4 linked regions of the Canis lupus familiaris genome follow. The protein of the gene in region 3 interacts with the protein of the main gene of each other region in a pairwise test. Links are inferred from orthologs where the notes say so. Each region holds a gene or a part of one and is shown on either strand. Other genes may lie near its edges. The genes, in order: ATXN1, SWAP70, RAPGEF4 and BMERB1.

Region 1 (4,371 bases), on a different chromosome or scaffold from region 3:
AGCTTACAGTCAGGAGTGGTGGCTTCCAGAGAGAAACTTATGGGCAGAGATCATGTTTCCAGACACTCGGGCTCGAAGCACCTGAAACAGGTCAAACGCTGCCCCGACACCTACTGGTCTTCCAGAATCATCTGCAGCAAGCACGCCCGCCCGCCGCGCTGAGCTCCCTCCAGCACGGATGTCACTGCGCTTCCTCCAGGTGCCACACCTGTTGGCAAGGTGCACCCCTCGACAGCAGGCTCCTCGCCACCCAGCTAACACCTGGCGGCGGCACGCGCGGAGGGGGCGGGGCGGTGGGCCGCGGGGACCCGCGCCGGGGGGCCGAGCGCGGAGGAAGTTCCCCAGCGTGGATCCCCGAGAACTGCCATTTGACGTTCGGTTTGCTTTCTGTGTCTCCTGCACCGGTTACCTCATTTCCGATTAAATTAATGATCCGAATGAGCCGCGAGAGCAGCGCGCGGGTCGTCTTCCGAGGCTGGGGCTGGGCGCTACCGAGCGGATTTCCAGACCTGCAGAAAGCGAAACGGGGTGGGGGGTGGGGGGTGGGGGGGTGGGGGTGGGAGGAGGGGGCACCCGCTCCGGCAGGCGGGAAAGGTGACGGTGCCCATGCGGGCGCGGGGACCCTGCAAACTTTCCCGAGTCGCACGCAGAGGCAATCCCCGCAGCCCCGCGGGCCCGGTTCAGGGGCTGAAGCCGCCGCGCGGCGATCCGAGTCTGCCCCCTTAGACGATTCTCGGCGCGCCCCGGACCCAGGGCACGTCGGGATCACCCTCGCGCCCCCTCCCCTCCGCCTGCGGGCCGGAGCCCGACACCCCCCGGAGCGCCCTGCAGGCCGCCGCGAGCTGCACCCCGCCGTCCTCGCCCCGTCCCCCTCCAACTAGGTGCAGGGACCCGGGGAGGCGCGCGAGGACCGACCGGTCACCGCTGAAATTACCTCATCGCTTCAGCTCCCCGCCCCTTTCCCAAACCTGGAAGAAGCGTCCCTCCGGCCGGAGGCGCCCCCCCCGCCCCCCGCTCGCCAGCCGGTCGCCGGCCGCGCGCCGCCTCCCGGGGCCGCCTCCCCGGGCCGCGCGCAGCCAAGGGTTAAGGGCGCCGGCCGGGCCGTCCGCCGCGCCGTGCGCTCGCGCTGCTCCGAGCCGCCCGCCGCCCGCCGCGGGGCCCCCCCCGCCACCCCCCCACCCCCCACCCCCAAGTCGGATCCTTGAGCTGCGGCGGCGGCAGCCAACTGCTCCATATTTGGCTTCTATTACACATTTACATACTGGAGCGAGCGAGCGAGCGAGCGAGCGCGAGAGAGCGCGAGGGAGGGAGGGCGGGCGGGCGGAGGGAGGAGGGAGGGGAGGGGAGCGGGGGGGTCGGAGGAGGAGGAGGGCGAGGAGGAGGAGGAGGAGGACGAGGAGGAGGAGGAGGAGGACGGGGAGGAGGAGGAGGAGGAGAGAGCAGAGTGTACCGCAGACATCATTTCTACTACAGTGGCGGAGCCGTACAGGACCTGTTTCACTGCAGGGGGATCACAAAACAAGCCCCGCGGAGCAGCCGCCAGAGCTACAGCAGCCGCAAGACACTGTTTCTCTCCCTCTGCCCCCCCTTCCCCACGCAACCCCAGATCCATTTACACTTTACAGTAAGTGGCTATTTTTTTCTCCTCTGATTCTCTCCTCCCCCTCCCCCATCCCCTTCGCCCCTTATCTAGATTAAAATTGGCCCCTACCCCCGCTCTCCAGAGAGGGGCAAAAGCAACAACCAGCAAACAAACCCCAAACCCCAGTCGCCGGCACAGAAAACAGCTGGAAGAGGAGCGAAGGAAATCGACGCGTCGTGCTGTGTCGTGTGTGTGTGTGTGTGTGTGTGTGTGTGTGTACATACCGCCTTCTCCCGCTCCAGCCTCCCGGGCCGACACCCCCGCTCGGGGCGCAGGGACTGACGGCAGGGGGGCTGCCGGGCCGGTGGGCGCCCGCCCGGCGAGGGGGCGCGCCCGGGCTGGGGGTGCGGGAGCGGGAGCGGGAGCGGGCGGGGGAGCGGCGGGGCTGCCGGGCCGGCCGCGAGTGCGGAGACCCGCGTCCCCCTCCCTGGAGGCGGCGGCGGCGGCGGCGGCGGCGGCCGGGGGTCGCGCTGCCCTCTCGCCCGCCGCCCCCTGCGCAGCCCGGGCCCCCGGGAGGGCGGCGGAGCCAGTGGGTCCGGAGGGGGGCCGGGCCTCCCCCCCGCCCCCCGCGAGGGCCGCCCGGCCCCTGAGCCCGGGGCGGGGGGTCCCCCGCGGAGGCCGGCCTCGCCCGGCGTGTGGCTGCGGCCCGGGACTCTGCGCGCGGCCGGGCGCCGGGCGGTGGGAGCGCGGGGGGCGCGGAGGGGTGGGCGCGGGGGGAGCCGACGTGCGGGTGCCGGGAGCGCGGCTGGAGCGGCGGCGGCGGCGGCCCTGCCGCCTCCTCCTCCTCCTCCTCCTCCTCCGCCGCCGCCGCCGCCGCCGCCGCCGCCGCCGCCGCCACCGCCGCCCTGTTGGTGCGGCCGCTTCCTGATCATGTGCAGCCGCCGCCGCCCGGAGCCCGGAGCCCGCGAGCGCCCCAGCCCGGGCCGGCGCCCCCGCCAGCGCCCGCGGCGGCAGCGGAGGAGCGGCGCCGGGAGTGAGCGGCTGCGCGGCGGCTGGGAGGGTGAATGAAGCCAGGAGGAGGGGAAGGAGGAGGCGGCGGCGGCGGAGGAGGCGCTGCGGGGATTGGGATGCGCCCTGGAGCCCCGCTGCTCGCTCACTCTGGGCCGGGCCGGAGACTCCGCCACTCCCGCGGCCGCCGCCTCCTACGTGGTTCCAGCGCCGCGAGCAGGCCGGTCCCGCCGGGGGCAGGGAAGGGGCCGGCCGGGCGGAGCGAGAGGTGAGGCGGCGGCGTGAGTGTGAGTGAGTGCGTGCGTGTGTGAGTGCGTGTGCGCGCGCGTGTGTGTGTGTGTGTGTGTGTGTGCGCGCGCGCGGGTGGGGGCGCCGGGGCGGGCGCGGGGGGCAGCGGCCCCTCGCCGGCCACTTGGCTGACTCCGCGGCGCCCCGACCCCTCCCCGGCCCCCCGCCCTCCCGCCGCCTTCCGAAACTCCGGGGCTTGTGCTTTCATTTTATTTCAGACCACGTAGGGGGCTGCCTGGAAGCGGTGCAACAATTCAGGTTTTCTAGGGAGACCGAGCAAAAGGACCTTCGTGGGGGGTGGAAGTAGGGTGGTGGTGGAGATCTTGCCAGAACACAGCAGCAGCAGCAGCAACAACAACAAAAAAAATCAGTTTCCAGGGACCGTGGGGTTCGGTTCAACCCTGTGGCTGCTCTGTGTTGTTGTGCTTTCTTAGTATATAATCCTGCAGATAAGAGGGTAATATAAATACTTCGGGAGATTGGGAAATTGCTGAAGAGTAGTAAGGGGGAAAAAAAAAAAAAAGCCAGTCGGAAGCTGGTTATATAATGCGCGATGTGGCTAACGAGAACGGCAAGCTATTTTTATTTTGTTTACCGTATGCTGTGCAGTAAGGGACTCCTCCAAACTGGTTCTGTCCCCGAAGAGATTCGTAGCTTCCCTGCGAGATCCGCAGGATACGATCAGTAGAATTAGACGACCCCCTTGCACCCGCAGAATAAAAACTACCGCCTTAGAGTGGCAGGCTCCCTGCGTGTCCCTTGGTGCAGGCACGGGAATGTGTATATGCAAATAAGCTCTCCTTTGGCAATCGAGTAGTCACATCTCAATGACATTTGTGTTTTGTAATGCAGGCTGCTCTTAATATTTAAACATTGTCGGTACATATCGCACAGAGCAGTGGGTAGTTACTTGATGGTTATTTTTAGGCAGAGCCAGTTACTTTTTCAATAGTGTTAGTTAGCTAAGCCATTTCTGTTTGGGTTTCTGAGGAGCCCTGCTGTTCGTTCCTAGAAGCCCCTGTGAGCCCACCCTGTGGTTTATTTGTAGTTTGATACTTGGACTTTTTTTTTTTTTTTTTTTTTTTTTTTTGGTGGAGTGAAGCCTGTGCCTGAGGAAACCAGCACCAAAGAGAAGGTTGAGAAAATCCTGCACATGAACTCTTAGAAAGGGATTGCACCATAACAGCTAATGCTGTGGCATTTAATCTCCTCTGATTGTCCTCCAAGTGTGCGTGCCTCAGTCAATATTTTAGCAGCTCCACAGACGAACAGGCTTGGAAGCCACCTTCCATGGACAGCAGAGGGTGGAGGGCTCCCCCGAACCTCCCGGCTGCCTGTCCTTCTCATCCTGTAGATAGTGTCAGTGGTGTAGGCTTTCCCTGCACTTACTCTGGCCCTGATCACTCCTGTAATTAGATCAGGCTGCCATGGCAACAGACAGTGTTCCTCCATCCATTCAGGTGGGTTTGTCTTGTGCCTGGACTACTCCAAGT
Region 2 (3,824 bases), on a different chromosome or scaffold from region 3:
TTATACTTTTACACTGATTTAGAACAGGAATAAAGTTTCTTAATTTCCCAGGCTTGTATTAGGCTTTCATTTAAAAAAGTTACTGGTGCAATATTGAAGTACACTTACGCATTGAGAAGTTACTATTTTGAAAGAACTGTTTAAATGACATTTCTGTTTTTAAAGTACTTTCATGTCATGTGTACATCCATTTGTTGATCTGAAAGATCCTCATAGCATATTATTCAGAGAAAAAAACACAAGTTGTTCAGTAGGAAGTATCTTGTAACCCTGCTCATGAAATGTGATATATGCGTGTAGGGCTATCTGGAAGAATGGTCACGAAAATGTTAAAAGTGATTGTCTCTGGATTGTGGGATCTCTGTAAATTTTATTTTCTTCTTTATTCCTTTTTAATTATTGGACTTACTACTTTATATATGATTCTATACATGAATGTATGTATATGATTATATATTTTTATGAAATCAGAAAAATACCCTTACTTTTGGGAGAAAATACCTTTATGTAGCAAAATTATACTTATTAGATTATGACCCACATAGCATCTGATATACATATGGGAAGCTTGATGCTTGTTAAATAGAATTTATATATTTTTTAGTGGATCTTACAAATTTCTTAATTATTATTATTATTATTATTATTTTTTTAAAGATTTTATTTATTTATTCATAGAGACAGAGAGAGAGGCAGAGACACAGGCAGAGGGAGAAGCAGGCATCTTACAGAGAGCCTGACGTGGGACTCGATCCAGGGTCTCCAGGATCACACCCTGGGCTGCAGGCGGTGCTAAACCACTGTGCCACTGGGGCTGCCCTTTCTTAATTATTATACTGAATAATAACTCCAAATTGAGATTTCCTTACTTTGGCCTTTTATTTACTCAGCAGATGTTGTCTTTACTCTTTTTTCCTAATTGAGCCCATCAATAAACATTAATTGAGGTTTCATTTGTGTAGGTTTTTTTTTTAATTTTCTTTTTTTAAAAATTTTTATTTATTTATGATAGTCACACAGAGAGAGAGAGAGAGAGAGAGGCAGAGACACAGGCAGAGAGAGAAGCAGGCTCCATGCACCGGGAGCCCGACGTGGGATTCGATCCCGGGTCTCCAGGATCGCGCCCTGGGCCAAAGGCAGGCGCCAAACCGCTGTGCCACCCAGGGATCCCTGTGTAGGTTTTTAGTGCTAAAACAAGGCATGAGACATGGTCTCTGTTCAAAGACTTGTAAGCCCACCAGGATAGCAGGATAATCTGACTACAGATGAATTTTAGTATGAGATAGCTTTTACTTAAATGTCCAAGGAATAGGGAACTGAACAAGTAATATGATTAGAACTTGGTATAATAATTAAATAATATGGCAAGCTAATATATATTTAATGGTTATGTATGATCTACTACTGGTTATTAGCACTTACACATTTGATGATTAAAATGTCAGCTATTCTTGGAGTGTCTGGGTGGCTCAGTCAGTTAAGCATCTGGTTTTTGTTTTCAGCTGGGGCCATAATCTTAGGGTTGTGAGACTGAGCCCTGCTTCAGGCTCCATGCCCAGTGGGAAGTCTGCTTCGGATTATCTCTCCCTGTGCCCACCCCCTTGTGTACGTGCACACTCTTTTCTCTTAAATAAGTGTGGAAAAAAAAACCCAGCTATTCTCAAACAACCCTGAAGGGCTTTGGCTGATAATGTGTCATTTTGCTTAAGTGAAAATATGAATTTTTACTTTATCAGTCATATCACCTTTGTGACTAATATGAGTGAAGGAAGTATAGGCCTAGAAGTGTGAGTGTAGGAGCTACATTTAGAAGCAGAATCCTGAGACCCCTGGGTGGCTCGGTGGTTTAGCGCTTGCCTTCAGCTCAGGGCGTGATCCTGGAGTTCTGGGAATCAAGTCCCGCATCGGGCTCCCTGCATGGAGCCTGCTTCTCCCTCTGCCTGTGCCTTTCATGAATAAATAAATAAAATCTTTAAAAAAAAAAAAAAATGGAGCCAGAATCCTGCTAGTTCCTTTTCTGTTCATCTGAAGCAGAGTTCTTTTTTCCAGAATAGCGAGAGGTCAGGTAGAAGGGGAGGTTGGTGCCAGAAGGTGATTGGTTGGTTGAAAGATAAATTTGCGTTTCGTTGAGGTTTTAATTTACTGACAATCACTTAGAGTTTTGTGTGTGTGTTTTAATCAGAATAGAATAGTGTAGTGAACTCACATATACCATTCATCCAGCCTCAGTAACCACTGACACATGGTTAATCCTACTCTTCCTACTTGCTTAATACCTTCAAGATACCTTGAAACAATCCCAGACAGTCATTTTATGTATAAATAATTCAATAGACATCCCTAAAAGATAAGGAATTTTAGGGGTACCTGGGTGGCTCAGTTAAGTGTCTGACTCTTGGTTTCAGCTCGTCATGATCTCAGGGTCATGAGATTGAACCCTGTGTCAGGCTCCATGCTGGGTGTGGAGCCTGCTTAAGATTCTCTCTCCCTCCTTTAAAAAAAAAAAAAGAATTTTAAAAAATCACAATGCTTTTGGCACCAGGAGTTCTAAGGCTACTTATCTATATAGCACTAGGGGATGGCGAGTGCAGTGGACAGTTGTCTCTGCATATCCAGAATTCTGTGTAAACTTTTGTGTGCACGTATTTGTGTGAATTTGACTGGGTTTAGTGCCCTTGGCCTTTATGTCCTCAATAGGTTCATGATCCATAAAGGTCAAGAACCACTGATACTTGTGTATTCAAGGAAGAGATATTAGCTCTTAAAGTAAAAGGCCAGGCATTTATATCAGATTTAATCTTTCATAGGGTTACATGATGAAAAAAGGCCACAGACGGAAAAACTGGACTGAACGTTGGTTTGTACTAAAACCCAACATAATTTCTTATTATGTGAGTGAGGATCTGAAAGATAAGAAAGGAGACATTCTCTTGGATGAAAACTGCTGTGTGGAGGTAAGAATCTACTGTTACCACTTTCTGATGCTGCCCCCTGCTGCTCAAGTGTTTTATCTTGCTTCTGGTCTTTAGAACCTTAAAATACTCTTAAAATTTACATTTCTAAAATAGTATAGGTGTACAGTTGCCAAACTTCCTGAACCAAAAACCAAAGATCCCTGACAAGTTTTTTTTATAATGTGAATTTGTTTTCTGTCTCATGAACAAAGTATAGGGATTAAGTCAGATTTATTTGTACATTTAAGGAAACACTTATTCAATAAAATGGAGTTCTAAAAAAAGCAAAAAAAAAATCAGTAAGACAGGGTTTGAAATCATGAATATATGAGGAACTCTGGGCCATTTTGAATACAGTAAATAAAACTAAAGAAAATATGAGTATTACCTTTGAATATTTTAGGTGACCTTCAGGACACCTTACTTAATAGCTGTTAATTCTATAAAGTGAAGTCTTCAAGAAACATACATTTTGAGTTTTTGATTTATATCGGAACTATCATAACTGTATTTGTTGAAGAACATTTAAAATACCTAAAATCTCGCTTATAAATGAGTGTGTTTTGATGGATGAAATAGTATAGATATATTAATGTCTCAGGGTGTGCACTGCCACTAAGGGGTCTTAGATTCGTGGAGATTCACGAGATTAACATAGGCCATACCAGTCTACTTATAAGGATATAGGACAGGAACTATAGCTTGCTAGCAGTAATATCTCAGGTGCAAAGAAAGTGTATCTGCATCAGGCAGGTATGGAAATCACCCTGGCTCAGAAGCCTCATGGTGCGCTGGAGTCAATACCTGTTAAAACAACGTGGATATACCTTCCAGGGTTCCTGTAAGGGGTGTGGTGTGTTCATGTATCCG
Region 3 (3,824 bases):
TATGTCAGCCCTTTTGAAATATATTGGTCTGCAATGGTTACGTGAGAGTGTTGAGGATACAGTATTTACATCATGTACTTTGCTATTGTAAGCTTCATGGCCGAAAGCACAAAAGCACTGAAGTTGTCAAGCCAGACCTGATGCCAGCTCTACCACTACAAGCCCTGTAACCTTGGGCAAGTAACTTGCTTCTCTGAGACTAAGCTTTTCCCATCCGTTAAAAGGGGTTTGTTGTAAGGATTAAATAAAACATGCAAAATATATTATGGCTATTCAATAATATTGTATTTTTTCCCACCTTCTTTGAAAATATGTTGATTCATCCAGATGAAAATGCCTGAGCGTTGGGCTTTTAGTCTAAACAGTAAAAATTGGGATCCCTGGGTGGCGCAGCGGTTTGGCGCCTGCCTTTGGCCCAGGGCGCGATCCTGGAGACCCAGGATCGAATCCCACGTCAGGCTCCCGGTGCATGGAGCCTGCTTCTCCCTCTGCCTGTGTCTCTGCCTCTCTCTCTCTGTGTGACTATCATAAATAAATAAAAATTAAAAAAAAATAGTAAACAGTAAAAATTCATCAGTTACTGTGAGTAGCCTGATTAAAGGGAACACCCCATTTTTGTGGCAAACAAAAGAAAATTACTTAGGAGGCATTCTTTTTCAGCATGTTATTTGGTGACACTGTCTTTAGCTACAGAATTGGTGTTTCTATTATTCCAAGATTGAAGATTAATCTTTACTTTAAAAACAAGATTCCGCAATCTTCTACAATTTCTTAAAGCTACATTTCCTTGTTCTCCTGTCTTACTATTCAAGTGTTGGTACATTTGATGGGGAAAAAAGCCTCATGTGAGAAGTTGCAACAAAAGATGGGACTGAACACAGACATCTGAAAAAGGGATCAAGTTCGACAGGGAACCTGAGAGATGGGAAGCAAATATCCTTTTGATGTTAGCAGGATTGAGTATGGATAAGGCCAAATGGATGCTTCTGGGCTACAATCAACAGACTGTCTTATATTTGAAGTCTGCGTTTCCGGCAAAGATGCTCATTCTGATAAGATGAAAACACTTCTCGGGAAATCCTACACAGGAAATTCAAATACCAGAGGTTCTCATCACCTCGGGGCCTACCTATCCTTTGCGCTGCCTGGCATTCCTATTTCCATTGTTCTTCCCGTCTTAGTGTTCCAAAGCTATTACAGTTGAATACCGTATATAGAGAGCGTCTGTAGAGAAGGAGAACAGTCTCCTCTGAATTAACTCCAGGCAGCACCAAGCTCAACGCAGTGCCAGAAATGGATACATTATCCTCCACAAGATGTGTGATTAGTCAATAGAGAGAAAAAAAAGTCACACACACTGCCGTCTTCCACAAAAAAGGAGAGCATGCTATTGTAGAAATGATGATACCATGTGAAAAGGTTAATCATAGTCTGGCAATTGCAGTGTTGGATGCAAACCTACTTTTGCTGAGGCTGTGAGTTTCCTTGATTAGAAGCCCTGTTCCCTGCTGGGACCTTCTCCAGCACCAAGACATCTTGGTCATGTTCTTTAAGTCTGACTGTATTCGCCTCAACGTCCTGCAAATACAAATTACACCACATACAGATGCTGCTGTTTTCTCAGACAATGAAAAAAATTTCAAATGCTTCAGAAACTCATTTGGTGCTTGTGATGCTAATTGTTGCATCTACAAATTAAGTCATTTTCAAAGTCAGGGCTGGAATGGTCAGAGAGAGGACCAGATGAGGTTTGAGGCATGTGGTTTTAAAACTCTTTTACCCCAGATTCAGAAAAACAGCCAAGTAGAGAGGAGTGTGGTTGTGCTCTGAGAAACCTTTAAAAGAGGGGGCATAGCGGGAAGACAGGGAGCAAGTGCCTTATCCTGACAAAAATATGTGGCAGGTTTCTTCATTTTGATTTTCTTCTGAGGGTGTGTCATTTTCATAGGTGTGTACCTTTTCTCTCTCATCAAAAGGCTCTGTTTATTTTTTTTAAAGATCTGTTTGAAATGTATTAAAAACATTTTTCAGTTATTTTGGACAATTTTATAAATTGTATCAATAATGATCCTAATCTGATTCTTTCAGCGAATTATTTTTGGCTGAGTTGGAAATTTTGTGTGTATCAACTTCAAAGAGCGACTAAAGTTTACCTCTAAATTTCAATGTCATTTAAACAATTAAATTAAAAATCTTAATGTGCTTTTTTCTCATCATTTGGTCCCCACTTTAAAAGAGATCAGTTAAGAGCCAAGTCAAATTCCATGAGGCATTTTTCTCTATATTCTTCAATGGTATAATTCCAATTTAACTCTCCTTGCATTAAGAGATTGCATTCCTAAGACAAACTGTGTTGTCAGAAATTTTGCCACCAAAGGCAAATGCTTAAGGCTGTGTGTGAACAGGTGTTCATATATTAGGAATGGAGAAAGACATTGTAAATCATCATGAAGTAATGCCAAGCATATCAGAAAGCACAGAAACTGCATTTAGGACTTCAGGGTAGGACAGAAAAGGTACTAAGGCTGGGAGAGGCAGAGAAGGGAGTCTGCTCTGTGAGCCAGCAAGGAGGGAAAGAGCAAAGTGATCCTTGAGGGAACCATCTCTCAGGGTGAACTCAAGCTGGGGCAGGGTGGACTGCAGGCCATCTGAGAGGCCAAGGGTGATGGGACACTGTCATCATCCCCAGGAGTTCCAGGGGTTGTGTGTGTGTGTGTGTGTGTATGTGTGTGTATAGTGGGGAGTGGGGAAGATCAGGGACCATCTCTTCTCAACATCACCCACGCTCACAAATACTTTAATAAGCTTACATTAGGCGCATTTGCAGAGCCAACTGCAAAGTGCAATCTCATTTCTCTATCACCCCAATTGTTCTTCACCTACTTGCTAAAGTTTGAAATTCCTTTAGTGTGAATCAATTTGACATAAAGCACTTGAAATGAAAATGCTTGGTTGGAGTAACCATGACTGACGTTAATTCCCACTAAAATGTAATCACTCAATAAATCAGGAGAAGGCATGATGATATGAGAAAGGCTCAGTCTTGGGAAGAGACGGGAGGTGGGTACTTAGAAGGTCTACGATGGAGAAAAAGCTGGAGAGTGAGGGGGGAAGGACACAAACTGGCCAACCTAGAATTGCCAAAGAGAAAGGTCTCAGACTGACATCTGGCCAAGGCGCTCCCTGTTTTTCTTTAATTCTCATGGGCCAGGAGGGGTGTGTGCACTTATCTGGTCCAGCATACATGCCACATTTGCAGCTTTATTGGAATAACCGCTTTGGATCCTGGAACGCACACCGGCATACCAGGTTTGTAACCAAGGCTCTTTGTTCATAGAGTGTTCAGTAGTTACAGGACTAGTCAATTAACACCACACTCTAATCTTTGCTTGTCTAGCAAAAGGAAAAATGAGATGTGCCTCAGCCACACTTTGCCTTGGACTCACCCTTAGGATCCGGTTGAAATCCTCTTTGTCTACTCTTAAGAAGTGGCAATTATCTTCTCTCAAGACGATAGAAGCAGCTCTTGGGGCATCATTCACTAATGCTAACTTGCCAAAGTCATCCCCTTCGTGCAGGGTACACACCACGCCCTGGAGGAGCAGAACATTCAGATGAAGACGGTCCCTGAATCTGAGCAAACACCCACTCACCTCACGCCACAAGACCCCCTTTCCCCCAAAACACTGTATATATAAACGGGCTGCACCCAGGGATGCCAAGGGAGAGTTCTATAATTAGATTATAATGTTTTATTTTTTTCATTGAGTAATATGGATTATGGCCTAACTTAAATGTACAATTTTATATATTTATTTTAAATC
Region 4 (3,660 bases), on a different chromosome or scaffold from region 3:
AAGAAGAGCAAGAGGAACGAGCTTCAGGGACTGGACACTATTAGAATGCCCTCACTTCCCTTCCGTTTCTATCTCTGCCCCTCATTGTATGTGAGCTTCATTTTCTCCTACTACACAGGCCTTCTTCATAGGGCCTGAACTCCAGAACCATAGCTTAGCAGCAGCAAGACAACACCGTGGGTTCTACGTCCTGGTATCCAAACACATCAATCTCAGGGGCATATTCTGATTGGACCTTCTTGGATCATGTTCCCACTTCCTAGGCCATCACCATCATCAAGAGGCTGGGATACTATGGTTGGCCAGATCTGTGTTGCATGCCTACTCTTGTAGCCACAGGGACATCTGCTGTTATCACAGAGAAGGGACTGGAATTCTTGCTAGGAAGATGAAACCCAAAAGCCACCACCATCTGCTATGGCCATAAATTCAGTTTTCCCTGACCATCTATTAATGTCCCATGAAATGTGGTATAGAGTGCAAGGGTATAAAGGAAGAAGAAAGTCCCTTCAGCAAGCCTCTAATATGACAAGGCACAGGGTCCTTGCCTAAATCCAGCATCCTCAGTGGACTGTCTCTTTCATGGCAGGCCAATTAGAAAAATCTCACCTAGCAGTGTGGGGAAGGAGCAAGGAAAATTGCCTTTTATGCAGGGTTATCGATAGCCAAAAGAAATCTGGCAAGAAAGTCAAAACACCAAGCTTATATCCTATGCAAGGGGCCAAGTGTTCAAATTTACTCTAATCATCTAGTGCTGGGATCTAAAGTTGAAAAATTAAAACGAATATAAAACCAGTGAAATCTCTGGGACTCCAGCAAAGCAAATGCAAAACCACTCAGTGGGGACACTTCTGCATCCCGCAATATGTAACCCACAGATAAAACGACCTCCGTGAAGATGAGCTGTCAATAAAAATTCTAAACCCATGAAGAACTGAACCACCATGATTGGAGTCAGTAGCTGCCACAAGGAGAGTGGCTGCCCTCCCAAGAATCAGAGATAACAGACTACCTAAAAGAGGCAATATCGTAAGTGTATTTAAAATGATGAAAGAGATAAGAGAAGGGATAAAACCCAAAGTGAAATCACAGGATGCCATGAGCAAAGAATTGGTAGATTTGCAAACAATTAGGTTTCTATAAAATATATATATATATATATATATATATATATATATATATATATATATACACACACACACATAGTCACAGAAGTAAAAACTCAGTAGATTAAGCAGAGCTGAAGTGAGAATTCAGAAATTGGAAGGCAGAGCTGAGGAACTTAACCAGCAGGTAACACAAAGAGACAAAGATATAGAAAATGCCTTCCAAAACATGGAAGAGAGAATAGGAAGGTCCAACTTCCTTCTCATAGGCATTCCAGAAGAGGGGCAACAGGGAACAAGAGAGTTGGAGGTATCTGAAAAGATCACGTTATGGCCACTTTCCGGGATTGAAAGACATGAATCCCCAGATTAAAGTGACTTGGACAAAATTTCCCATTTATCGGTTCACCAGATGCTTTGAAAGCCAGACCCTGTGCCAGGCGTGGCAGATACAATAGCAAAGAGTACTGAATAGGATTAGAGCTGAAGACTGTGATTGTCGGGGGTGAGATGGGGGGGTGGGGGTGGGAATAGGCTTCGGAACCGTCTAAAAACACACAGCCGCTCTCTGTACCTGTGGAGCTGAGCAAGCCTGGCTAGGGGTCGGGACGGGGCAGGGGCTACAGGTGGTCAAGGGGCTCTCCTTATATCACCTCTTCCCCTCTCTCCCTTTCTCCCTCTCCCCCTCCACGCTCCTACCCTGCTGCAGGCTCCCGAGCAGAGAAGAAAGCAGAGCCCCCACCTAGCAAGCCCACAGTGGCCAAGACCGGCCTGGCACTCATCAAGGATTGCTGTGGGGCCACCCAGTGCAATATCATGTAGCCCCCCATGTGGGGTGCCCCCGGGGCCACGGGGACCCCCCCACCCTCCTGTCTTCATAGCCCCCATTTCACCGGGGCCTGAGAGCTCTCCAAGGCGGAAGGGGTTGAAGGCCAGCCTGTGACTGCCGCCAGGGGCCGTGGGCGTGGCGGGCGGGCCCGACCGCCCTGTACAGAGTGTAGCAATAGGGAGTCCCTCACCGTCGCATGGCCCCCCACCCCCCCAGAGCATGCCAAACCCAGGAGTCTGTCTCACTGTTTATCCAACCACCAGGAAAGATCCTTCCTTGAAAAAGTATGTCTCCACTTCTATCTATCTATATCTAACCCACCGTGCGAATGATCTGGACGAGGGGCACGATCCCCAGGTGTGTATAGTCATGACTTTTCAACAATCCAGCACCACGTCGGACACATGCCTCATCCACCCTCGTAGCTCTGCTATCCGGCCAGCCCCAGATGGGCACAGCTCCCGCCCCCCTGTCTGTCCCCTCCCAGGGGCTGTGTTCTGGAGGCCTTCACTCAGCCCAAGCACCATGGAGACTCGAGGGCCCATCTGTAAAGGCTGAGCTCATGTGTGGTGTCGTGGTTACATCTCCTGCTTCCTCCCCTCCTGTGTCTGGGCACGGTTCACATCGAGAGTGTGTCCGTTTGCTCTTGGCCCTTCCTTCCCTTGCAATGTGTGCCCCAGGTGTGTGGAGCACAGTGGGGATGATGGCCTGGGCTGGAGACCAACCAGCGCTCGGAAGAGGTAGCGGAAAGCTAGAGGCTCCAACACCGGGCAAGGGCAGGCTGAGAAGGGGCCCCAGAGCAGATGCTGCCTTGGGTGCCCTCCACCCACTGGGGGGCCACTGGAGGGAGTGCCAACAGGACACACTCACCAGCCTAACACACAGACCTCCGTAAACATCAGCGGCGGCGGGCGGGAGAGGTGGCCTGACCCAACCGTGTCCCATCAGTCGGTGGTGTGTTTCAACCAGCTTAATAATTCCACCTGTGTAACTTGATGTACATTTGCTACAGCCAGCTCGGCGCAGCCCGTGTGACCTCTCTGTACGTGTGCGTGTCGTGACCGGCCTAACATAGCCTAACTCAAGATTCGCTGATGTGCAATCATCCATCGGAGAAAATAAAAGTGGAAACCACGTACACAGCATTTTTAACGTTTTTTTACTTTTTCTCTTGATTATGGAAGTCATCCATGTACATAGTAAACCTTTTAAAAGTATAGAAAGTATAAAGAAGTTTCTTTGTTTTCTGTTTGTATCTCCCACAAATTTTCCAGCTCGAGACCATGCTGCCCTTTTGGCAGGTTTCCTTTCATGCATTTTTTTTCCTCCCACAACCGGCATCATATTGTATCATCTTATAACCAGTTTCTTTTTTCATTGAGCATTAGATCACTATCATTTTCCCACGTCATCAAGAGTTCTTTGTAACAAACACTCCTCACAAATATTTACAACGGCTGCTCAGTAATCCATCTCGTGGCTATGCCATAATCTATCTAACCCTTATCTTACTATCGGACATTTAGATTGCTTCTACTTTTTAGTATTATTAAGAATGTCATGGGGCACCTGGGTGGCTCATTGGGTTGGGCCTCGGCTCAGGTCATGATCCTGGGGTCCTAGAATCGAATCTTACATCGGGCCCCATGCTCAGTGTGGAGTCTGCTTCTCCTTCTCCCTCTGCTTCTCCCCTGCTCATGCTTTCTCTCTCTCAAATAAATAAAT

What was found.
Region 1: the proteins of RAPGEF4 (region 3) and ATXN1 interact in binary tests that used the Homo sapiens proteins (3 or more experiments, as listed by UniProt). The link is inferred for Canis lupus familiaris from reciprocal best matches to the Homo sapiens genes RAPGEF4 and ATXN1.
Region 2: the proteins of RAPGEF4 (region 3) and SWAP70 interact in a two-hybrid assay, tested with the Homo sapiens proteins (2 studies listed by BioGRID and IntAct). The link is inferred for Canis lupus familiaris from reciprocal best matches to the Homo sapiens genes RAPGEF4 and SWAP70.
Region 4: the proteins of RAPGEF4 (region 3) and BMERB1 interact in binary tests that used the Homo sapiens proteins (3 or more experiments, as listed by UniProt). The link is inferred for Canis lupus familiaris from reciprocal best matches to the Homo sapiens genes RAPGEF4 and BMERB1.

Annotation. Positions count from the first base shown.
Region 1 is NC_049256.1:17,160,751-17,165,121, reverse strand, and holds the start of ATXN1 (ataxin-1), read left to right. Parts: upstream 1-1,383; 5' UTR 1,384-1,624; intron 1,625-2,599; exon of another isoform or gene 2,600-2,858; intron 2,859-4,371. UniProt on the Homo sapiens protein: Chromatin-binding factor that repress Notch signaling in the absence of Notch intracellular domain by acting as a CBF1 corepressor. Binds to the HEY promoter and might assist, along with NCOR2, RBPJ-mediated repression. Binds RNA in vitro.
Region 2 is NC_049242.1:33,564,551-33,568,374, forward strand, and holds part of SWAP70 (switch-associated protein 70), read left to right. Parts: intron 1-2,807; coding exon 2,808-2,954; intron 2,955-3,824.
Region 3 is NC_049257.1:17,573,340-17,577,163, reverse strand, and holds part of RAPGEF4 (rap guanine nucleotide exchange factor 4), read right to left. Parts: intron 3,594-3,824; coding exon 3,447-3,593; intron 2,199-3,446; exon of another isoform or gene 1,579-2,198; coding exon 1,463-1,578; exon of another isoform or gene 1-1,462.
Region 4 is NC_049227.1:28,503,175-28,506,834, reverse strand, and holds the end of BMERB1 (bMERB domain-containing protein 1), read left to right. Parts: intron 1-878; coding exon of another isoform or gene 879-913; exon of another isoform or gene 914-928; intron 929-1,815; coding exon 1,816-1,928; 3' UTR 1,929-3,080; downstream 3,081-3,660.